Canis lupus familiaris: one gene and its partners. The protein of the gene in region 4 interacts with the protein of the main gene of each other region in a biochemical or structural test. Links are inferred from orthologs where the notes say so. Each region holds a gene or a part of one and is shown on either strand. Other genes may lie near its edges.

The links.
Region 1: the proteins of YWHAQ (region 4) and CDC25A form a complex in vitro, tested with the Homo sapiens proteins (2 studies listed by BioGRID, with this or other methods). The link is inferred for Canis lupus familiaris from reciprocal best matches to the Homo sapiens genes YWHAQ and CDC25A.
Region 2: the proteins of YWHAQ (region 4) and PRKD1 form a complex in vitro, tested with the Homo sapiens proteins (2 studies listed by BioGRID). The link is inferred for Canis lupus familiaris from reciprocal best matches to the Homo sapiens genes YWHAQ and PRKD1.
Region 3: the proteins of YWHAQ (region 4) and MARK2 form a complex in vitro, tested with the Homo sapiens proteins (2 studies listed by BioGRID, with this or other methods). The link is inferred for Canis lupus familiaris from reciprocal best matches to the Homo sapiens genes YWHAQ and MARK2.
Region 5: the proteins of YWHAQ (region 4) and BAD form a complex in vitro, tested with the Homo sapiens proteins (2 studies listed by BioGRID). The link is inferred for Canis lupus familiaris from reciprocal best matches to the Homo sapiens genes YWHAQ and BAD.

The regions. Positions count from the first base shown.
Region 1 is NC_049241.1:41,230,618-41,235,378, reverse strand, and holds the start of CDC25A (M-phase inducer phosphatase 1), read right to left. Parts: upstream 3,418-4,761; coding exon 3,248-3,417; intron 1,859-3,247; coding exon 1,785-1,858; intron 614-1,784; coding exon 571-613; intron 178-570; coding exon 141-177; intron 1-140. UniProt on the Homo sapiens protein: Tyrosine protein phosphatase which functions as a dosage-dependent inducer of mitotic progression. Directly dephosphorylates CDK1 and stimulates its kinase activity. Also dephosphorylates CDK2 in complex with cyclin-E, in vitro.
Region 2 is NC_049229.1:9,459,287-9,464,302, forward strand, and holds the start of PRKD1 (serine/threonine-protein kinase D1), read right to left. Parts: upstream 3,418-5,016; coding exon 3,151-3,417; intron 1-3,150.
Region 3 is NC_049239.1:53,629,026-53,633,986, forward strand, and holds the start of MARK2 (serine/threonine-protein kinase MARK2), read right to left. Parts: upstream 3,418-4,961; 5' UTR 3,389-3,417; coding exon 3,281-3,388; intron 1,513-3,280; exon of another isoform or gene 1,107-1,512; intron 1-1,106. UniProt on the Homo sapiens protein: Serine/threonine-protein kinase. Involved in cell polarity and microtubule dynamics regulation. Phosphorylates CRTC2/TORC2, DCX, HDAC7, KIF13B, MAP2, MAP4 and RAB11FIP2. Phosphorylates the microtubule-associated protein MAPT/TAU.
Region 4 is NC_049238.1:6,669,984-6,674,222, forward strand, and holds part of YWHAQ (14-3-3 protein theta), read right to left. Parts: intron 3,199-4,239; coding exon 3,075-3,198; intron 704-3,074; coding exon 540-703; intron 327-539; coding exon 231-326; intron 1-230. UniProt on the Homo sapiens protein: Adapter protein implicated in the regulation of a large spectrum of both general and specialized signaling pathways. Binds to a large number of partners, usually by recognition of a phosphoserine or phosphothreonine motif.
Region 5 is NC_049239.1:53,288,200-53,293,064, reverse strand, and holds the start of BAD (bcl2-associated agonist of cell death), read right to left. Parts: upstream 3,418-4,865; 5' UTR 3,413-3,417; coding exon 3,226-3,412; intron 1-3,225. UniProt on the Homo sapiens protein: Promotes cell death. Successfully competes for the binding to Bcl-X(L), Bcl-2 and Bcl-W, thereby affecting the level of heterodimerization of these proteins with BAX. Can reverse the death repressor activity of Bcl-X(L), but not that of Bcl-2.

The DNA of each region.
Region 1 (4,761 bases), on a different chromosome or scaffold from region 4:
TGTGTTTTGAGTGCTACAAGACTAAAGAAAAGTAGTCTTTGCTGTCCAAGTGAAAGTCTACCTACTATCAAGGTCACCCTGACAGCTAAGGGAGATAGATAATACTAATTAACTCAAGATAAACAAGAGAATTAACTTACAGGCAGGAAACTTATTCTCCTCATGGGATTTTCAAGGCTGCAATGAGATCAGAAGATAAACAATGAGACTAAAACAAGAGAAATATTAGCAGATGCAGTGTCTAGCCTATAGTTTGGGGAGGGCACAAACATTCCCATTTTAGGCAAGATGCAAGTACAGGTTTCTGAGACTGTCCTGTTCTCACAAGCACCCCAACATTACTGGGCTTCTGGGTAAAATGAGCAAGCCTGGTCTTCTTTTAAAGGACGGGAAGTCTTAAAGACTACTAACACAAACTACTTTCTCTAAAGGCAGACTTATTTATAGGATCCAGAAGTTTTACTAGGGTTAGCTAAATCCAGGGCTCCTGTCCAGAACACAAAGAATTTCAATAAAAAATTAAGAAAAGTCTTTTCTAAGCACAAACTTTAAAAAGCAGTGAATACGTACTTTTCTTTACTGTCCAAGGGCCCAGGAGAATCTAGACAGAAGCCTGTGGAAATAAAAAAAACCTCAGGAAATAATACACAAAACACCACTTTGTCATTAAATAAACAAAAATACTATTAGTATTTTCTTTAAGCCATCAATCAACTCACACCTTGGACTTTTGCCAGAATTAAAGTGGTGTCTCTAATTGTCAAAAACTTCATATTTGCACAAGTCTCAACATTTTCATAGTATATCTTCTACCAATCCCCTTTACCTATTTGCAAATACCATCAAGGGAACAGGATGTGAGAATTAAACATAATCTTCTAATGAATGGTTGGTTATTCAAATAGAGATTACCCAGGTAACTTTCTGTGAGTTCTGACTATGGAAAGAATAGGTAACTGTTTTCTGGAATAGTTTTGACTTCAAATATTTTATCTTGTCAGATCATATGTGTAATTTGGGTTTTTTCTTTTTTTTTAATTTGGGGGTTTTGAAAAATACATTTATCAGTCATGTGACAAACAAGCCAAGTATTCATGGCCTTTAACAAAATAACACCAAGTAAGGTGCTCATCTCACCAAAGGGAGCAAGGTGGAAGACACACTGCTCTCAGTATGGCCCAGACCCACGAGTGTGCCTACTGCACACCTCTCCTCATGAGATCCACATAACTTTGCAGAAAGTCAAGTGTTAGCTCTGATATTCTCATTTGCCATGCTGCCACAAGAATCCTATCCCTAGTTCTTAAGAAGTTTCCATTTTAAGATCTTTGCTCTTGTAGTTCCCTAGCCTAAAGCATCTGTGCAAATATAAACCCTGCAGTAGCATGAAGTTGTGAATTAGAGTAAAATGCACTGGGCCCATCTCCTCCACCGCAGGCTCACTGAAACAATGTCATCACACTTTCAATAATTTGGCCCTGCATTTCAACCAATACACCTTTCTGGTCTTGGTGTTATGGTTCATTGTACCCACCTACTCATCCTCAAGATCAAGCACACTCTACCTCCATGCAGACACTTGACGCTGGTTTCCTCCATAAACTACCATAGGGCCTTATCTGGCCTATTTTAAGGGTATTGGTTACTGAATGCCATGACTCTGATTTACTGTCTCAGGTAGTCACCAGACTAAGTTCCTAGGTGGGGCACACGTTCACAACACATTCCAAGTTTTGATCCTCACACAGTAAACACATAATAAATGGTAGAGACTAAAGGAATACCTGAATCGGTTGACTCAGAAGAGCCCATTCTCTGCAGACTGCTGTTTCTCACCTCCAGCGCCTGTTCATATTCACTGAAAGCAAGAGAAAGAACTCTATGTAATTTTTTTTTTTTTATCATAGTCACAGAGAGAGAGAGAGAGAGAGAGAGAGAGAGAGGCAGAGACACAGGCAGAGGGAGAAGCAGGCTCCATGCACCAGGGAGCCCGACGTGGGATTCGATCCCGGGTCTCCAGGATTGCGCCCTGGGCCAAAGGCAGGCGCCAAACCGCTGCGCCACCCAGGGATCCCTATGTATTTTTTAAAAAGATTTTATTTATTTATTCATGAGAGACAGAGAGAGAGAGAGGCAAAGACACAGGCAGAGGGAGAAGCAGGATCCCTGTAGGGAGGAGCCTGATGTGGATGGATCCAAGGACCCCAGGATTACAACCTGAGCCAAAGGCAGAGCACCTCAAGCACTGAGCCACCCAGCTGCCCCTCTTTCTATTTCCAAAACATAACTACAAGTACACACAGGAGACAGGCCACGAGGTTAGGCAAGTATCCAGGCTGCTATCAATCATCTACTTCTGGGCCACATCACAGAACCCACTTTGCCACCCAAAACACTCAGCACTTGAAAATAAAAGATGCAAAAGTGGTGGGAAGGCATGGCCTGGGTTACACTGTAGGCAAGAGGACTATGATGCTGGAGTATTTTCTGAAGGGAGAGCATGTGTTCTAGCTCCTAGGATGAAAGATAAATTGGACAAGTTCCTGCTTTTCAGAGGTTAGAAATGTACAAGACATGTGCTTACAAAGAAAATGGGACATCCAAAATCGAAGGGAAAGCAACCCCACCAGAAACACCGTGATGCAGGTTTTGCTAGAAGGAAAAGTCCAGGGAGCTTCTGAGGATGGAGAGTTGAATAAAAAGGCCTTGCCTTAGGAAAGCAGGGGTGGACATCAGGAATGTGCACGTGGTGAGGAACGAAGAGGATTTTGCACAAACGACAGGAAAGAAAATGCCATGTGTCTCTGTAGAGAAGGAACAAAGCTCGCAGGAAGCTAAGATCCTGCGAAGTGGTTCAGGAAAGGGTGGAAGTGAGGCGCCTGAAGGGTCTGCTTTGCCCTCTTGGGGGGAGATTACAAAGAACTTCCCTGGATTGGGACAGAAGGAGAGTACAAAGCAATCTGAAATGGGTAGCCTAAGTGGGGACCCCGGGCCGACCCCACCCCCTACCGGGCCCGGCTCGGGGCTGAGGGCGGCCCTGGAGGGTCCGAACGGCCTCTCCCGCCCAACATTCCGCCTGGGGGGGAGGGTGCACATGGCGGGCCCCTGCTCAGCGGGGCGGCCCACGAGCGGCGGGCAGGTCTCGCCCCGCTCCGGACCCGTTTCCCAGCCAGATCCCGCCCCCGCCCCACCGAGAGCCATCTGGGAGCCCAGCGGCCTGTGGCACCGCTCGCCAGTCCCTCCTCACCTGCCTAGTCCCTGCAGCTGGTCCATGGTGACCGTCAGGCTGGTGACAGGCGACAGGCCCCCCGAGGCTGGCGCGCCGAACAGCGCTTTCACGACGGGCTGCGGCGCGGGAGGCGGGCTGCAGGCGAAGAGCAGGCGGCGGCGGTGCGGGGGCTCTGGGCCCAGTTCCATGGCGGCACCCGGCCTCCCAGGGCTCCCGCTCCCTCTTCCTCCGCCTCCGCCGCGCCGCCCCGCCCCGCCGGCACCGGCCTCGGCCGCGCGCCCCGCCGCGGGCGCCCGCGGGTCAAACACAAACACGACCCCGCGGTTCAGGGATGCGGCTGCCGCGGGCAAGCGGCGCGGACGGGCGGGTGTCTAAACCCAGCAGGCGCCAGGCACATGCACGGGTGCTTCCCCCGCACCCCGCGAGGCCAGCGGGCGGGCGGGCGCCGGCAACCTGAGGATTAAATCCAAACAAACGCGTCGGGTCGGGAAGAGAAAGCGGCCAGGGCCGCAAGGCAACGGCCAGGGCTCACACTCTCTTCACTTTTCTCTCACCCCCTTGCCCGAACCCGGGGTCGCAGAGCACCAAGAGGAGTCTCACCTCTCTTCCGGACTGTCGCTGCCGAGGCGGCCTTTCGCGGTAATAGCTGCTCACTAGGGACCGCCGCTGCCCCGCCCCCCTTTCCTAGTTGGCGCCAAACGGAATCCACCAATCAGTAAGCAACTTCGCCTCCTCGCTCCCGAAAGGCAGCTACGCTGGACCAATGAGAGGGGAAGAAGGAAGCAGCTCGCGGGGCTCTGAGGGGTCATCCGCTTTCTGAAAGGGGCGGGGCCGAGAGGAGGCCAGAGCAGATCCGAATGGATAGGGGCTCAGAGGTCAATGAAAACTCCCAGCAGAACCTGGGAGGCGAGGGTAGAGACCGAGACGCCTCTCTTGCCGCGTTGCATGCTGGGGAGCGTAGTTCCCAACCCGCACCGTGGCCCGGGAACCTCCTACCCGCGGAGGGCCACGACTGCGTAGCCACCCCCTTCCCTGAGGTCCACACGCGGAGGGGACGCGCAGGCTGGAGAGAGCTGTCCTGCCCACTCGGGGTCCAGCCGTGGCTCGACCTATAACCGTGCGGTACTGTAGGCCCCTTCTCCCTTCCTCCCGGGCCTCCAGGCCCCAATTTTTGTAAGAAGAGTAGGAACCGAATGACCCAACGACTGGGCTCTGTGACCTCTAGGCCCCAACAACGAAGCGCTTAAGGCTCCTGCAGTGCTAGCCACGGACACACAAGACTCGAGCCCTGCACTGCAGGCTGCTGGACTCCACATTCATTGCTCACTTCCGTTTTAAGCTCATACCATACTTTTTCAGAACCATTTCCTTCGTTTCTACCCTTACCCTATTGGGAGCTCCTAGACAGCAACAACATAAATACAATAAATACGTAATACATAAATACATAATACATATAGTATTTATGTGACAGACACTGTTCCAAGTGCTTTATCTGTATTAATTCATTTAATCCTTACAACCCTGAGGGG
Region 2 (5,016 bases), on a different chromosome or scaffold from region 4:
TCATGAGGGATCCCTGGGTGGCGCAGCGGTTTAGCGCCTGCCTTTGGCCCAGGGCGTGATCCTGGAGACCCGGGACTGAATCCCACGTCAGGCTCCCGGTGCATGGAGCCTGCTTCTCCCTCTGCCTATGTCTCTGCCTCTCTCTCTCTCTCTGTGTGTGACTCATAAATAAATAAAAATAAAAAGTTCATGAAACAATGAATGTGGAGGGCTTGGAAAATCAGAACCTTCTGCTGTAAGCTAGACATGACTCTAAGTCTACATCATAAATTGTAAATGACTTCAAACTCTCAGCTCTCACCTAAAACATTAGTTTCCCTTCCTCTCTCTCTTTTTCCCTCTTGTCATCCTTCTTCATGGTTGATACCTTCAGCAAGTACTTAAGAGAACCTGAAATAAGGGACAAAAGCCTCCTCCCGTTTCCTTAATTCAGTACTACTGACCCTGTCCACCATATCCACTCTCACAAAGCAGAAGAGATCCTTGCTATCCTGTGATGGACATTTAGTTCTCTTCATCTCGTTTCTGCCTCGGGTGATAATGTATCTCAAGACAGATGACAGAAGACAGACAGATGGAAATTCTTCTGCCGAGACCCACCATCCAGCAAATATTTATACAAATAACCCACAAATCTGCATCTCTAAATCCAATTCTTTGTCATAACCTCTAAAGAAAAAAAAAATTACGAGATAGTTCTTTACCTTGGCTACCTCAAGCCTTTAAACTTCTCAAACTCTTCTTTCAGAAAGAGAACAAGGGTAAATACAAAAGGAAGGGGTTCCTCATTATAAATCAGCCACCAAGGCTGAGGATTTTCCCTTTTCAGTACTTTTCCAGGTCTCTCCCCAGAGTGTTGGTTCAGGTCTCAAGTAGCTCATGACTGAACTCGTTTTCTTTCTACCATAACATTTTTGGCATTCAAAAACATCTTCCCACAGAGCAAATCCATCTTTCAGATGTTCTTGGTTTGATATCTCTATATGGAAGATTACTGAGTCTTCTAATAATTTGAGATCTTTTCAGTTGTACTTTCTATAAATACCCTACTCACCACCCTCAGGCCTACTGCAATCCGCAGGTGCTTGGAGACTCTCTCCTTCAGTACTTCTACCGGGCCCTTCATATAACATCCCTCTTGGTAGCTACTGAGACAACTGCAGTTCACTTTCGATTCAAAATCCCAATCCCCAAAACTCCTGAACCACTAATGTTTCTCCCCATCCCAACCTCCATCAACAGGTGTGATCGTGTGTGTGTGTGTGTGTGTGTGTGTGTTTCAGCTGGTCAAAAACAGCCTGTCCATATTAATCTAACTCAATTTGGATATTCCTTGTAACTCTATCACTTGCTGTAGAATTTAGGTACATTAAAATTCTACACAATTGCATTAGCTTTTTTTTTTTCCAAGACTTTATTTATTCATGAGATACACAGAGAGAGAGGGGGAGGGGGCAGAGGCACAGGCAGAGGGAGAAGCAGGCTCCATGCAGGGAGCCCGATGTGGGACTGGATCCCGGGTCTCCAGGATCACGCTCTGGGCTGAAGACGGTGCTAAACTGCTGAGCCACCCAGGCTCCCCTGCATTTGCTTTTTGAGAAACTTTACTATACACTGTATTTACACTTATCCAGTAATACTCTTTAATCAACTGGTTTTGCACCCTAATAGAGATTTGTAGGCAATTTCCACTCAGGGAACACGTTTCGGTGCCTAGGAAAGCGTTCACGTTCACCTGCAACAAATATTTCATAATATTGATGAGGAGGCACATGATGGGCCTTATACTAGAATTCAAGAGAATTTGTCATTTACATGGAAGGTGAAAGAGATGGAGAGTCATATGCAATAGAAAATGTCACCACATTCAATAACCTAAAAACGTTTGACCCTCACTACTGCCTTGGCTGAGCCTTCAGAACTTTTACAAACTCCCTAGATTACTGATTCTTCCCTGGGGCTTTTCCCTGTATCCCTGTGCTTGATGCCACAATCAACAACACTTGGATTTAGCAAGCTCTGCTTCAAATACCTTAAAGAAAACATTCATGATTATTTAAGTGACTTTCATAAGGCAAGTACTAGCCAGGCCTCCAGGGCTGAAATTCAGCACCTTTAGAGACCTCTGTCCCCACCCCCCTAACCCTGCCTGTTTATACTGAGAACCCTGGCGCCACGGCCTCCTCTCCTTCACACTCTTATCGCCTCTTTCCGTGCAGCATCACCCTGGATGGCTACGGAAACAACCTGAAATTCACAACAGCCCTATAAACAGTGGTGGGCGTCGGGGGGGGGGGCGGATGGGGGGGTGTCTCCTCCCTGGGTGGCCTGGCCCGGGGTAATGGCCCTTTTTCCAACCTGCCTTTTTGGGACCGCTGTCCAGAGACCCACAGCCTCCAGCTTAAGGGCACAGCCAGCCCTGGGGTGCTCCTGGGAGTGCCCCCACCTTTTATGTGTCTGTGCCTGCACTTCAGTGCCCCACTATCAGTGCCTCGGGGCTGAAAAATGTGCTTTCCCGTCCACACAAAGGTCGGACGAAAGAACCACAAGGAGGTGAGTGGTTGTGGTCCGGCCCGTTGTTTTCACAGCTGGCTGAGTCAGTCAGCCCCCTCTTAAAAGGTAATTTGACAGGTGAGAAATTCCTCATCTCTAGACGGTTCCAGGGACTCCTCAGCACCGGTCTGAGCTGGGAGAGGGGCCTGAAGAGGAGGGGAGTGGTGCTGGAATCGTGGGGAGCGTGTCCCGGGGGAGAACTCCGGTTGGGGAAGGAGGATCCCGGCGCCAGGAACGTGCCGGTCCGGGGTCCGGGGTCCGGGGTCCGGGGTCCGGGGTCCCGGGGCGGGGGGGGGCGGGGAGCCGGGCGCCGGGAGCAGGGAGAGGCGCTGAAGGAAACGGGGCAAGCGACATACCTGGAAACGTCCTGGGAGGAACGGGAACGGATGGGTAAGGAGGCGGCGGGGCGCGGAGAGGTGGGGCAAGGGGGGACCCGGCCGCAGGGACCGCGGCGCCTCGGGTGCCGGCGTCCGGCCTCGGCCGCTGCCAGAGCTTCCAGGGCGCCGGCGGGGCTGGCTCGCGGCCGGGCCCCCGGGCCGGGAAGTCGGCGCGGCGAGGGGCGCCGGGACGGGCAGCGCCCCCTGTGCGGCGCCTTACCTTCTGGTCGACGATGGAGCAAGCCATCTCGCGGACGTGCGCCAGGCTGTAGTCCCCGGACGAGTCCTGCAGCAGCAGCACCGGCTCGCGGCTCAGGCCGATCTGCAGATGGAACGAGACGCCCCCGGCCGGGGCCGCGGCGGGAGCCAGGAAGGGCGCGGGCCCCGGCCCGGACCCCGGCACCAGCGCGGCCGCCGCCGCCGCCGCCGCCGCCGCCGCCGCGGGCAGCAGCGGGCTGGGCGGCCGCAGGGCCGGAGGGGCGCTCATGCTCGGCGGGCGCGGGCGGGGGCGCGGGCGGGGGCGCGGGCGGGGGCGCGGGCGGGGGCGCGGGGCCGGCGGCCGAGGGCGGGCGTCGGCGGAGCGGCGGCCGAAAAGTTTTGCTGCCGCGGAGCCGGGAGCCGCTTTCCCCAGGAGCCGAGGCGGAGAATAAAAACTTTCCGGAAAAGTCCCCGCGCGGGGGGAGGGCGAGAGGATGGGGCGCGGGAGGGGCGCGGGGGAGGGGCAATGGCCGAGGCGGGAGAGGACTGCGCCGCCGGGAGCGAGGGCGCCGCTCGGGGGAGGCGCCGCCGGGGAGCAGCCGGCCGGCGCGCTCGGGGCCCGGGGCGGCGGGGCCGGGCGGCGGGGCCGGGCGCCGGGCGGGGCGCAAGGGGGCCTGGAGGCGGAGACAGCCCCGGCGGGCGGCGGGCGGCTGGAGCGGCTGGAGCTGCTGGAGCGGTGGCCGCAGTAGCCGCAGGGCGCCGGGTCGCCGCCCCTCCGCCCCTCCGCCCCTCCGCCCCTCCGCCCTGGGATCCCTGCCGGGACCTGAGCCGCCCCGAGCCCGGGCGGGACTGAGCTGCGGGCCTGCGGCCGCCTCCGCGGGCGTGGCCCGGCCCTCGCCGTCCCGGTGCGGGCTCGGGGCCCGGGGCTCGGGGCTCGGGGCTCGGGGCTCGGCTGGCCCGGCCGCCCGGCCGCGCACGGGGAGGACGAGGCGCATCCCTCCTGCCCGCTTCCCAGCGCCGCCGGCATCCCCGGCCCCGCGCCCTGGCCCCAGTTCCGAGCGCCCGGGGCCAGCGCCCTTCTGGGGGTGCGGTGACCTGGGGGGGGGGGGGGGAGAACGCCGCGCCCCGCGCTTTTCCATGGGTCTTCCTGCCTTCGAGGCTTCCAGGGAGCGTGAGAACCGAGGGTCCTCGGAAGCCCGCCTACATCCCTCCTCCTCCTGGGAGCCCTCGGGGGTCTTGCCCGAGAGGGCAGGGAGCCCGACCGCGGAAGTGTATTTAAGCCCGTCCCTACCTTTCCTGCCTGAACATCCCATCCCCAACCCCACCTACTGCACCGCAGCTCCCGAGGCGCCAGACCTACCCAGGTGGCCGAATTCGGGAGACGGTCCCCTGACAGAACAGGCATTGTCCACACAGAGGCAGCGGGAAGGTGTGATGTGGCCTCTTCCCCCCGTCCTCGGCCTGGCACCTCTCCTTCTGGAGCCCCAGAAACCCTGGTTGCCTTCTCGTCCCGTCGCTCTAAAGTCGGCCCCGTGGGACTGGCGCTCGCAGCCTCACCCAGCGCCCGCCACCGCCACCGCCACCGCCACCGCCGCCACCATCAAGGCCGGGCACTCTCTGCTCCAATTCTGGTAGTTGCTTTGTTGTTGTTGTTGTTGCTGCTGCTGCTGCTGCTGCTGCTGCTGTTGTTTTGACAGGGGTGAGGAGATGAGTGCTTCCCAGTCTGTGGGGATGAATTCTAATCTTACCCTCCCCCCACCCCCCCCCCCCCCACCCCGGGATGGGCCTCAGGCGTGTGTGACTGTGCGGGTGTACAGGGCCCAGACCTCAGAAGGACCTGCCTTGTGTGATGCTCTGCCCCCAAGTTTTGCTGCCTGCCACCATCTTG
Region 3 (4,961 bases), on a different chromosome or scaffold from region 4:
AGTGTCCAGTAGAAAATGTTTCTTGGACCATGGCCCCACACGAGGTCGCTGCCCTGAAGGCTGAAGTGGAGGCAAGGGTATGGAGACAGTCTCTTCTGTGGTCCTGACTAGGCCCACTCAGCCTGAATCCAGATCTTACCACCAGTTGGGGGGGCTGAGGACTGGCTGCCCTTCGAGGCCAACAAAACAGGATCTGGGTAGTCACACTCTTCCCTCTACCTCTGTCCTCCCTGCTCACAGTAAGATAGGAACACCAAACATTCTCAAAGCCCACAGCACACCACAAGCTAGCCCTAAAAACCTGAGGAAGTCTGTTGCAAGTTGACAGCCCGACTCTCAGGCAGCCTTCAGAAAGAACAGGGGGTCGCCTTGTGAGGCAGTATTTGGAACCAACAGCAGACTACACAGGTGACTTAGCAAGCCTGACTCAGAAGCAGGACCTGAACAGCTTTGGAGGCTCAACAGAGAGATGGAACATAGGACCCGGGGAGAAGAGAAAGAGCCTTCTATCCAGCAGGCCCTTCAACCTAGGATCTCTAAACTCAGCCTCAGGCGTGTTGCCAGGTTTGCCTGGAAGACAGCCTCCACCCCAGAGGCCCAGTGCTGACTCAGGTAGGTAGGGCTCCTTCCCTAACGCTGGGGGCTCCTACTAACAGTTCTCCCCTAGAAAAGCTTGTGTGGTGGGACTCCGCATTCAGGCCTGGACTTAAGTGTCCTGAGACTTCCCCAGGGTTGGGAGGAGTCAGGCAGGTACTCCCCAGCCAGAGGCACAGTAAGCCCAGGCACTGTGGGAAGAACAGGGTCCCTCGGGTGCTGGCTCCGGGCGGCCACCCCAGATCCGAGTCTCCCCTTACTGGAGCACTGGCACGCCCTCCCTGGGCCTCCATTTGTCCCCCCCGCCCCCACTCTGGGTGTGACTGCTGATTCAACCTATGGAGACTCTTCTTCCGGTATTTGCCCCCTCTTCCTTTCCCAGCCAGTGCCTCTTTCCATGAATTTTACTACCTGTGCTAGCGCCTGGCTCCATTTAGCACTTCTTTAAAGATCCTGTGTTTGGGTGGTTAAGAGGAAGGGGCAATCTCACAGCAGAAAAGGGGAAAACATACCCGGCTGGAGAAAGGGGCAAGGACTACCAGCAACTTCCATTCAGCAGAGCCCACAGCAGAACCTGTCAGGCAGCGAGGGCAAAGTACAGAGGCCAGGAAGAGCCAGGCCCAGGGCGGGGGCTGCCGGCTCTGCCAGCCACCCTTACTCAGCCGAAGCAGGCGACACCTTCCACCACCTCCTCAGTGAAAAACAGTGAAGCAGCCAGGCCCGAGAGGCTCCTGCCTGGGAACCTGGACTGTGTCGCAACCGAAACCACCACTAGCAGAGAGAGACCAGGCTTGGCAAGGAGACCGACAGGGACAAAAAAGCCCCACGGCTTCCCACAGGCCAGGGCCTGGTGGCCAGAAAGTGCATGCGGTCCCAGGACACTACAGGAGTGAGGTGGGAGGAAAGGGACAGGAGGCAGTGGGGAGGGGGGAGAGGGAGAAGGAGAGGGAGAGAGAGAGGGAGAGAGAGAAAGAAAGAGAGAGGCGGGTTTAAGATCAACTTCCTTTTCCCTCCCCCTCTCCGGAAGTGGGCTGCCCCACCCTCCCAAAGGTGCTTTGCTGGGTAACAGCTGGGAGAGGGTGAGGAGACAGGGCTGTCATAAAGTCCTTATCTCACCTGCAGCAGGTGGGACCTGGGTAGGGGCTCCAATTGGCTGGGAGGAGTATGTGTGAATCAGGCCTGCTAACCCTTGCCAAAGACCAGCAAACCACCTGAGAACAAGGCAGGGGTTAAACAGAAACCAGCAATCCAACAGTGGCAGATGGACCTCCTGCCTCACAAAAAGCAGTGTTTAACTTAGAAAAACGCACATTCCACTTATACACAAAATATTGGGGACATAACTTCAGGGAAGTCAGGAACCCTTTAGAGGTCAATGGGTTCTAGACTAAAAACTCTGGTCACCACAGAATGAGACATTTAATCCTAAAACTCACCCTAAAGATGGGAAACCAAACAAATGTCCCTCTAAGTCCCTTCCGGCCCTGATTCTGGGAGGCCAACCCTTGGTTCTTGTCCAACCTCCAAGCAGTCTCCATCACTCCCCCTCCCACATCACTGCTTTAAGAACTCTGAGGGCCGGGGCCAGCAGGGATGCTGGTCCTCATGCCTTCCTCCTGCAAAGCTTTCCTGTCTGGGCATCTGCTAATTTGGGGCTACTGGAGCCCTCCCTCGTCTGAGTTCTGTGTGCCGGTCATGCCTTTCTTCTGGCTCCCAGATTTACTTTGACTTCATCCTATTTCTCCAGGCTATGATGTTTCCCACTAAGCAACTTTTTTTTTTTTTTTTTTTTTAAGATTTTATTCACTTATTCATGAGACACACACACAGAGAGACGCAGAGACATAGGCAGAAGCAGGCTCTCATGCAAGGAGCCTGATGCAGGACTCAATCCCAAACCCCGGGATCACACCCTGAGCCAAAGGCAGATGCTCAACCGCTGAGCCACCCAGGCGTCCCACCACTAAGCAACTCCTGAAAGGTCTCACGTTGGTAGGCCATCAACCCATCTAGGGAAGGGCAAAACGTCCTGTGTGCCCTCCCACCACCTGAGCACGGATACTAGGGAGACCATGCTACTCAGTATTCATCTTACACAGGAGCCCTGATCAACAGATTGGACGTTCCTGACACTACCTTCTGCAGCCCCGTATTTCCTATGTTCTCCACACCTGCAGGGAGCACCCTAATATTACACATAAGAAACTGAATCACAGAACTGGGATCGGAGCCCAGGGCTTTCAAGTCCAGGTCAGCACTCTGCTGTTCCTTGAGGCCTCCTTTGCTGGTACCCACCCTCCCAAAGAAGATAAGGAAGTGGAGAGGGGAGCAGGGTGGGGGAGTGGGGAGATGCCTAGGGCAACAGGAATGCCTGGTGTCTGGCTCAGGCCTACATGTAGGGCTGTTGTGAGGACATAACCGGGAGGTCCCACAGCACGTCCTGCTCCTCTATCTCTCTCCAAAGTGGGCCCCCATCTCAGTGCAAGAGCTGAAAGCTTATTCCAGACCCTGGGCTCAGGACTGTCTGTGATCACCTTCCCCTTCGCTCAGAGGCCAGAATAGGATCAAATGGCTTCATTTTTCCAGTCCCTAGAGTTTTGCAATGTAACAGAAGGATTGTTTCCTCAATCCTGTTTGTGGGAATCAGTAAGGGGTTTTGTAAACTGAGGAAGTACTAAGCACTGACCTCAGAGAGGCTGGGGAGAAATGGGTATGGCTGAGCTGACAAGTCATGTGGCTGTGGCAAGTTCTTTAACCCTTCCTCCTTCACTGCATCCAGGAGACCTTTTTGCATCCTTTAATCCTGAGCAACTGTCACTCTCAACTGCCAAGAGTCAACAAACCAGAGGAGCATTGTGGGTAGGAGAGATCTTGTAAGGCTGTGGGAAGCACTAACTGGTAGAGAGCTTGGGTGCAACCTCCCTGCACTCAAAATTAGCCATGGTGGCTCTGCCTGGGGGACCCCCCACCCACCTTCCCTTAATACCCTGGTGCAGAAGGGAGGTGGGACTGTGTCAAAGTGTCAGAGCGCTGCTCTCTCTTTGTAGCCGGGGCAGGTGCTCCTCCCCGACAGAGGAGAACTGCAGAGCTGGCAACTGAAGCCCAAAGAGTGGTAGTTCACTGCCTGCTAGCTCTTTGAGCTGCAAGCCTCACCTGAAGGCAGAAGCCAGCATGTGTCTGGGGGGACCAGCAGACAAGACCTGACCTGGAGTGAGACCAGAACCGATCCAGCACCTCCAGCTCACTCCCCTTCATGCATGGAAGCCACAATGCAATAAGTACTTCTCAAAGCTCCGGCCTGTGCAGCTACTTGAAATGCTGGGCTCTTCCTCAAACAGGACAGATTCTACTGAGCAAGCAGAGCTTTACCAGCTTCTAGTACCATTTCATCCCTAAGAATCTGCTCACTGGGGTCTGGTCTCTATCTCAATTCCCAATTACTGTTGCCAATTCAGCAAACCTTTGTTGAGGGCCTACCTCTGGAGCCAGGGCCAGTTTGCAAAGTTCAGAGAGATCTGGTTTCTGCCTTCTAGAAACTCAGAGGAGGAAACTGTATATTATATTAGACGCATCACAGTTACCTCTGCTTACTTAGTAAGGGAGGCAGGATAGCACGACAGAGCTCTGGAAGCAGACGGCCCTGGGGTGAGAGCCTTGCCTTTGCTCCTTACTAGTTCACTGAGCACGACCAAGATTCTTTGACTTCTTTAGCGCCTGTTTCGTTATTTGGGATATGTGGACACCAGCTGTACCCACTTCACAAGATCGGCATGAAGACGAAAGGAAGAAACGCACCCCAGTGTGGACCGCAGTGTCCGGCGTGCAGTAAGGTCTCAACAGTGTTTCCTAAGATCTTGCTTCTCTTTCAGATAGGAACCTGCTTCCCATTAAGGGGTCCTCTGAGCCCAGAGAAGAGCTATTATCTCTAAGAACTTGACTCAAAGCATCAGTGGAGTGAAGCTAGTACAGGGAAAAGTCAAATTTCTACCATGGCTGGGCTGTCAGGCAAAAAGGACCCTCTTCCCTAACCTAAAACCAGCCATGCCTCTGGCCTCTTAGCCCAGAGGAAGAGGAAGGTGTGCCTGCTTTTTCTCTTCCTCGTGGGCTCCTTAACTCCTTCCTCCCAGAAAAGGTCTAAGAAATAGCCGACATACCAGTACCACATGGTGCCAAGGGCTGGGGGAAGCTCACATTGCCAGCCTCACACTCCATTCGGCGCCGCCCCGTACCAGTGGGTTACTGTAACCATGGAGACCAACAAGTTCCTCCATATCACAGGAGAGAGGCTGCCAGCAGCCCAGGGCTCTGGGGGAGGCAGAAGGCAGCCTGCAGCAAAAAGGTTTGGCTCACTTTACAGAGGATTGTGG
Region 4 (4,239 bases):
AGGTCTAGGTCTGATAAAACGCCTACTCAATTTAAAAATCTGCCCACAAAAGAACAGATGGCCAATACAAAACACTAACAAGCACTTAATACTTTTACTTATGTATCTTTATACTCGTTTTCTAAGAGAAAGTGTAGCTCTTACATAACCACCCCAAATGATAGGAAGACTGAACTAAAATAGAAGTACTTTTATTCTTAAAAATAAAATTAAAAGAACGAACAACTCACTGTTAGGTTGTCTCTAAGCAATTGCATGATGAGGGTGCTGTCTTTGTATGAATCTTCATTCAGTGTATCAAGTTCTGCAATGGCCTCATCAAAAGCCTGGTAAATATTAATATCCATGGTAGATATTTGCATCAAAACAAACTGCATTACTCTACAACTATAAACCATTTTTATAAAATAGGTGAACATCCACTTTATGTTCTACTATCAATTAAAATAAAACTCAATGGAATCATTTTCAGATTCCCAGTTTATGACAATGACCCTATCAATATGAGTAAGAACATATAAGAATGACCCGAAACTTACTGTTTTAGCCAGAGTGCAGGCAAGCTCTGGGTTATTAAGGATCTCGTAGTAAAATACAGAAAAGTTAAGAGCCAGCCCCAGGCGAATGGGGTGTGTAGGTTGCATCTCTTTCTTGCTTATATCAAAAGCCTCTTGGTAAGCTCCTTGGGAATTATCTATCGTTTCTGTGAGGGGGGGGGAGAGACAAAAGAAGCACAATACTGAAAATATCCATCAAGTATACAGCATATTAACCTTTAACTTATGCTACTACCTCATGCAGAGCTGGATTTTTCTCTGTGGCCTTCCTTTAAAACCATAGTAGCAAACTGAAAACATTACCTCATACCAGCTTATGGAGAAACTAGTTTATAATGTTGCTTTTTTTATTTTTTTAAAGATTTTATTTATTTATTCATGAGAGACAGAGAAAGAGGCAGACACACAGGAAGAAGGAGAAGCAGGCTCCCTGCAGGGAGCCCAATGTGGGACTTGATCCCTGGACCCAGGATCACGCCCTGAGCTGAAGGCAGATGCTCAACTGCTGAGCTACCCAGGCGTCCCATGTTGCTTGCTTATAATCAGCTTTAAAAAACCCAATATGAGATAGTGCAATTGGATTTTTCCAGATCTGTGACTCAAACAATTTTCTTTTTCCGTATCTTTTAATTTTACTAATTGGAAATGCAGCAATTAAAAATAATTTCACCGATACACGTCAATAATACTTCAATAAAGCTAGAAAAAATTTTTGGCTATCTCTTCTCAAAATCATGAAAACACTTTACAAAGATCATACCACCAAAATCTCTTTTTTTGTGACTTATTTGTAAAAACAATACTAATCCTTGGTATCAAGATGTATTATGTAAAAGGCAATATAAAAGTGTCAAAATACAAAATAAAATCTGCTCTGACAAGAGATTGATTACTGGCCTAATAAAAAGGTTACCTTCCTGAAAAAAGCTGTTCAGTGATTGTTACCAATTCTAATCTGACTATAGCCATGCTTTCAAAAGAGTAGGTAGGTTTTCTCAATGAGACCACTGGCCCATTACAGCTTTAGAAATACTCCTCTAATAGAAATGTAAAGTTAACCTTTTTATGGCCTGAATATAAGGATTTTTCCTTCTTCAGAAATGGCACACTTATTAATCTAAATATAGCTGGTAGAGCCCTCACATAGTAAGGAGTTCTTGCTGTTTGGCATTTAAGGAAGTACTGTAATGAGTAGCAGTAAGGGGTCTCAGCTCCTAAGCTGTAAATACAGACTATGAGTCCCAGTCTACCGGAGTATTCTATGGATAGGGATAGAAATGCCAGGAAGCTAGAAAGGGTTAAATAAGATTAATGCTGGGGCTATGTCCCAGTCTCCCAAAGATATCCTTGTGACTTGCAAATATCTGTTACTTTCAGCTTTGCTTATCTTTATGACAACAGAAATTATACATCAATAAGTTTAGTATACAAATTGTTACAGTAGGATGCAATAGTTTTCTCTTTGTATCTTCAATTACACTGATATTTGGGGTGGTAAAACTGTTCCACTTTCAGTTAGTACCTCTTTGAGGGTAGGAAGCCACAGTAACTACTTGAAAAAGTACACTCTTTTTGGATGGGGCAAAATTAAAAACAAATTAATAAACCTACCAGAAATAAGGAATTGGGTGAAAATTCTAACTAGAATTTGATAAATATGATAGCAGGCACATACACAAAATTTAATAGGACCTGACTTGTACTCAGCTACTAATACTCCAGGAGGCTAAGTCCACTAGTAATAAATTGCTTTGATTTTCTTTTTACAATCAACTCTAGCAATTCATTTATTCTCTTTCCCAGATCTATATTTTCTATGACAAACTATATACCAGCAAAACTCTCACTCACCTCTCTTCCTCAGAAATTTGGTCTTGTAAGTATTGGTAGTCAATGTAATGATCCTTCAAAATAGGTAGTTAATAAATTGTCAAACAGAAAAAGCATAACATGCTGTTTCTATATTCTCTTTGTAATTTCCAGTAAGTTTCAAGGTACGATGACACAAAAGGCCATGTAACAGCACAAACTCTCAAAGCATATGCAAATAACTAGGGGGCTAAAAAATATGCTTCACCAAACTCTAAAGTATAAAAGAGTAATAATAAGCCTCTCTTATTTTTTCTTTATTATTATTATTTTTCACACTGAGTGTGGAGCCCAGCATAGGACCTGAACTCACAACTGTAAAGATCCAGATCTGAGCTGAGATCAAGAGTAGGAAGCTGAATGACTGAGCCACCCAGGCGCCCAAGATTAAGCCTTTTAAATAATATCTTAGCAGATTATCACCAGAATTTGAGTTTAATTTTTCAAAAACAGTACATTATGTAAATTCATGGCTATTTTCATTTTTTAGAACATTAAGGTCACATTACATTAATTTTATCGTATGTAGATTCCAAGATTTTTTAAAAAGTTACAGAGGACCTGGAGATTACATAGCGACTACTGTCACAGTGTCCCACTTATCCTCCCTTCCTTTTTTAACTTTACCTATAAACCAAACATACTTACGTTTTCGATCATCACCACACGCAACTTCAGCAAGGTACCGAAAATAATCTCCCTTCATTTTCAGATAGAAGACCTTACTCTCTGGATTAGTTGCGTTGGCTATTAAATACTTATCCAACAATTCCTGAAAAGAAGGAAGATAAAGTATTAGGTACCAATAAAAAGCTATTTTATTACAGGTAAGCACAATGAAGGACTACCACAGTAACTACAACCATTCCACCTTGGACTTGAAGCATGGACTGAGAGCAGGGGTCATGTAGTTGTCATCAGTTGAATGCTTTGGCCTATAGCAAGTCATAGTTTCTAATAAAGCTAGGTTACATCAAACACTAAATATAAAGAGCTTGTCTATTCACTCATCCATTCATTCAAGTAAGCATTTCTTGGTACTGGCTGGGTGCCAGGCACTGTATTTGGCCAGAGGGGATATAAAGAAAACACAAAGTTCTTGCCCTCAAGGAGCTCACAGTCTTAAGTAAGATACAGAAACATTATCTTGTTTATCCTTTATCTAGGATAGTAGCACCACAGAGAGAGCATCTGGCTGTGCTAGAGGTGGCCACTAGCTAAACAGGATTTCCCTGAAGGGATATTTCTGACTTGTTAAGAAGGAACAGTAGGAATGTATCAGTTCAGAAATGTGCATGTGCAATCAGCTTTTTTTTAGTTTTACATGTTTGTGTGTTTGTGTGTGTATAAGTTATCTCTGCACTCAACGTGGGCCTCAAACTCATAACCCCCAAATCAAGAGTCACGTGCTCTACTGACTGAGCCAGCCAGGCACAATCATTTTAAAGAAGGGAAACAAAATGTTTAAGACATCAAGTATGAAGAATATAATCACAGAACAAGTAAGTCAGCATGGCTCAGAGCAGGGCTGGCTGTTCAGTGTCTCTTACAGACTACTGCTCATCCAAAATAAGGGTAAATACAGGGATCAAGAGAAAGTACTTTAGAAACAATGACAGTCATGTCTACTGAATAGAATTATTTGAAAAAATATTGGGTTAGTAACTAAGTACGACTTCATTCCCTATTTTATTCAAAGAAATGTACCCTTGGATCCAATGAGCTAGTAGCGCTTCTCAAACTGAGGGATTTATACAAGATGTGCCACAAGAATAAAAAGTCACAGAAGAGGGGGTGTCTGGCTGGCTCAGTG
Region 5 (4,865 bases), on a different chromosome or scaffold from region 4:
CCTACCTGGCTGGCTCCCTGCCTTGGTAGCCCACTCTAGTGATGCCAGAAGTTCCAGAGCAAACTGACACCCCACACCAACCATTCCCTCCCTTGCAGGCACCTCTTCCCAGCTAGGCTGAGACAGGCACAGCTCTGGTTAAACTCTAACTCCCTGCTGGCCCCCACAGGCCCCTGGTAGCCAGTGTGGCTGGAGAAAAGCACAACCATGCAGCCACCACTGAAATTCATGGCCATAGGGATGCCTGGGTGGCTCAGCAGTGGAGCATCCGCCTTTGGCTCAGGGCATGATCCCGTTTGTCTGGGGAATCCAGTCCCACCCTCCAAGGAGCCTGCTTTTCCCTCTGCCTCTCTCTCTCTGTCTCTCATGAACAGATAAAGTGAAATGAAAGAAAGAAAAAAAAGAAAAGAAAAGAAAAGAAAAAAAGAAAGAAAAGAAAGACCATAAAACCCAGTTGCACCCTTGACATTGCCCAGTACACTTCACATGCTCTATGTTTGGGGATGCTCGACTACTTCAAACCTGATCCTTTCTCCTTCAACCCTCTCCTGGAGAACCCGGAAGCACCCACAAGAGAAACTTCTACTACTTCCCATAAAGTATCTACCCAAGACCACGCAGCTATGTCCACCTTCCGGCGTTTAGCTGAGCTAGCCCTCCCCAGGCACCAGACCCCTCCCCTACTCAAAGACATCTCTCTAGCTAGTCTCCCTTCTCTCCTGCCTCATTGGGTAGTTTCCTGGCTCCTGGATTACTCCCATCAGCTTATAGACGGGCTGTTTTCTTTCTCCCTTCTAAAATTAAAAAAAAAATTAAAAATTAAACAACTCAGGACATCTCGTTGTTTCAGCAGTTGAGTATCTGCCTTTGGCTCAGGGCGTGATCCTTGAGTCCCGGGATCCAGTTCCACATCGGGCTCCCTGCTTTTCCCTCTGCCTATGTCTCTGCCTCTCTCTCTGTGTCTCTCATGAATAAATGAATACAATCTTTAAAAAAAAAAATTAAACAACCCTTCCTGGAGCCTCCTTGGGCCTTCAGGTGCTGCCCATTTCTCTGCTCCCTTTTCTGGAACACAGCTGCCAAGATTGGGCTCTCCTTTCTGCCTCCACTTCTCTTCCTGTCATCCCTCCCCACTGAACTGAGCTCAGCCTTCCCTCAACCTCCCCACCCAAACTGCAACAGCCCCGTCTTGGTGGTTCCAGGGCTCTGCTCCCAGTCCCCCTCCAGCCAGACTATTCCCCCTTGCTGCCCAGGCCCTGCCTGCTCCTGGTTTCCCTCCAATCCTGCTAATTCTTTCTCAGTCCTCAATGCTGCCTCTTCCTCTGTTGCTGGCCTGTCTATGCTGGCTCCCCGGGCCTCAGAGAACATTACCTCAGTGATTGAAAACTCCCATGTGTATAAATCCCACCTGGACCTATGCCTACTAGAAACCTCCATCTGGCTGCCCAAAAGGCACCTCTCACCTGCCCTGGCCCAAACAGTTCTGCCATAGTTCCGTCCTTCAGGTGCCCAGGCCAGATTCCTTGCAGCAATCCCTGGCTCCTGTCTTTTCCACCCCTGCCCCCAACATCCAGTTCGTTGGCAGATCCTGCCAGTTCTACCTTCAAAATAAACCCAGAGTCCAGCTATTTACCAACCCCACGGCCACCACCAGGTGCAAGCCACCATCCTTCCTCACTGGGACTCTTGGGGCTGCCTCTCCTGCAGCCCCATGGCTGCTTTTGCCCATTGCAGACTAGTCTTAACTCTGGGGCCCTGGTGATTCTCTTGACCCCAAATCAGACCACCCTTGCCTCTGCTCAAAGCTGTCCCATGTGTTTCCACTCAGAGTGAAAGCCAACACCCTGACACTGGCCTTCCAGGCCCTGCCCAGGGGCTCCTCCCCCCTCCCATCTATCCCTCCCTCCACTTCCAAACTCTCCTCCCCCCAGGGGCCTAGACCGTGTCCTCCCCTCAGGGCCTTTGCATTTGCCCTTCCCTAGGCCAGGATCTGTCTTTTTCCAATGATATGGACGGGGCTCACCCCTCACCCCTTCCAAGCTTTGCTGTAATATTGCTTCCTGCCAAGGCTGACCCTGACCACCCGTTAGAGTCTCCTCCAGCTCCCAATACTCTGGATTTCAAAGAGAAAGTCAATGTTTCTGGCACTGCCACCCAACGCCTGTCATCTTCTAACACATTATGGCATTTGTTTGTTTATGGCTTGTCTCTTCTCACTCTCTCACTTAACTAGAATGTAGGCACCACAAGGGCAAGGGCTTTTATCTTTTTTGTTCACTGGTGTACCCCTGGCAGCTGGGACAGCATGTGGCACAAACTAAGCACTTGATATGGAGGATGAAGAGGAACAGGGAGGTGGGGGGTAGAAACCTGTAGTGAGCAGAAAAACAGCAAGTGCAAAGATCTGGATGTTAAAGGAGGTAAAGAAAATCTGGAGTTCAGTCTGACAAAGTTGGGGGGGGGGCTGGGGGGGCTGGGGGGGGCTGGGGAGGAAGACCCGGTAAGCCTTCCTATTCCTGAAGGTGGGGATGGATGGGGTCATTCAGATTTCAGGAGATCAGGGATACAAGTTTTGTTCACACCAGACCTCTATGGTGGTTCCAGGCGCCCAAACCTGTGTTGGGCACTGGGGAGGTGGGCACTGGTGAGAAATGGCCACCACACTCTGTGCCCATCCTTCCATCTTAGCACTGGGTTCCTTCAGTGGATGTGGACAGGCCCGCTTCCTGGAAGGGCTATCCTTGGAGTCATTTACCCCTGGCAACTGGCAAGGATAGTCCCAGTATGGGTGTGTGCCACAGGGCAAGAAAATACATACCTGGGGCTAAGGTCCAATTTCAGGGAAGGTGCAAAGCCGGGGGCAGGGCACCTTGGAGTCTTCCAGCCCTGGTTCCTACCAAAGGTAATGCCAACCAAGTGTGACCTTAGGCAAGTCATTTCCCCTTTCTGGCTGACTGGTTGTCTCTAGGTGATTTGTGTTCTGGTCCTATGCTAACAGCTACATTCTTTGAGCATTTACTACACACGGGCCCTATAATTGCTTCCTATATAGTTCTACTAATCATCCCAACAGCCCTACAATGGTGGTGATTAATTGCTCTGGTTTACAGAAGAGGAAACTGAGGTGCAGAGAGGTTAGGGACTTACTCAAGGCCAGCGAGTGGGGATGCAGCTAGGATGCAGGGAGCTGTTGGGGCAGGGCAAGGTGGCCAGGCAGGTACCTACCTCCATGGTGTTTGCGGCTGGCTGGCTGCCCCTGCTGGTGACCAGCTTCCCCTAGGAGGCCTGGGGCCGTCTGCTGGTGCTTGCCAGGGCTTGGGGGCCGGTCCCCTGTGGGGCTGGGGCCCAAGCCCCTATTTGCAGGGCTGGAGTCTTCCTGCTCACTGGGCTCAAACTCTGGGATCTGGAACATGCTCTGGGCTGTGGGGGCAAGACAGCAGGTAGTTAGGGCACAGCTGGGGTAAATGGTGGCTAGTGAAGGGAGAGGGCAGCAGATGCCCACCTTAGAACCCCAGGTTCACTCTGCCTCCCGGGCCCCCGTTTGTCCACTGAGGCTAGCTGGGCAGGTCGCTCAGCCTGTCTACCTAAATCTCCTCTTGTGGAGCCCCGGAGCTGTGAAGCGGTTCCAGGTCCCTACCTAGGCCCTGGCCCAACCTGTCCTCGGTGACGGCACACAAGTCTTACCCCAAGCCCGATCTCGAGGCCCCTGACCCGGGCCTGCCGCCTCCCTCTAGTACTGAGGGAGTCCGGCCCTAGTTGCCTGGGTAACGGGAACTGTCACCGAGAGGGCCCAATCAGCTGGTGACACGTCACTAAGGCGGGCCAGGGGGCGTGGCCGCCCCTGGCCCAGACCCCGCCCCCGCGGCGGACCTGCGCCCAGCCCACTGCCGTCGTCCCGGGTCCCTTCCTCTTCTCCCCGCCGCTCGGTTCCTGACTTCCTTGTGCCTGGGTCCTGCGCGGGAGCAGATGAGGGATTCTCTGGGGTCTCCTCTTGGAACCTGGAGACCAGCTTCTGCTGACAAGCCCTTCAGCCCCTTTGGGCCTTAGTCTCCACTCCTGTAAAATGGGGATGATGACATCTCCCTTAGAGGCCAGTGAACTCTGTAAACCGAGTGGCGATTACTGTGGGTGAAAGCACTTTGCAAAGCTGAAGCTGAAGCTCAGCCGTCGGATGCAGGTGTTGCTGCTGTCACTGCTCCGTGTGGACGGGGGAGTCGGGTCGGGAAGTCCCGCTCCCTCCTCCCCACAGTGGAAACCTCGCGCCGCACGCCTCGGGCGCACTACTCCGCGCGCCGGCTCAGGAGCGCTCGAGATAAGCGAGGAAGCCTCCTCCCCGGCAGGATGGCTGTCCCGGCGCGGGAGAGGGGGCCCCGCTGAGGGTGGCCGTAGGACTTAAGGGGGCTTCGCGCAGGCACAAGGCCGGCCAGGTGAGCGGGAACCGCAGCGGGCCGGGGCGTGGGGCGGCCGTGCCTCCCCGGGACTGCGGGGCCCTGCGGGCGAAGCCCAGGGGGCGGGGCCCGGGGGCCATCTTGGCTGCGGGCGGAAGTTTCCTTCGGAAGCCGGTGCGGGGAGGTTGTCGCCGCCCCTCCGCCGGGCGGCGCGATCTCAATTTGGGGATAGGGAAGAGAAGCATGGGAACTGGCGGCCCCGCAAACGAACGGGGGCAGGTGGCCGCGGGCACAGCCCACCCGGATGCGGTTCAGCCCGGGCGTCTCGGCCTCCGCCTGCCTCCAGTAACCCCTGGCGCCCGCCGGCAGCGCACCTTGCGCCAACTCTCGCACGGCTCCGGCGCGAAGCTGCGGAGCTGGTGGGGCCAGACTCTGCGCAATAAGCGTAGCGGACGCCGCCCGCGCAGGCGCAGGCGC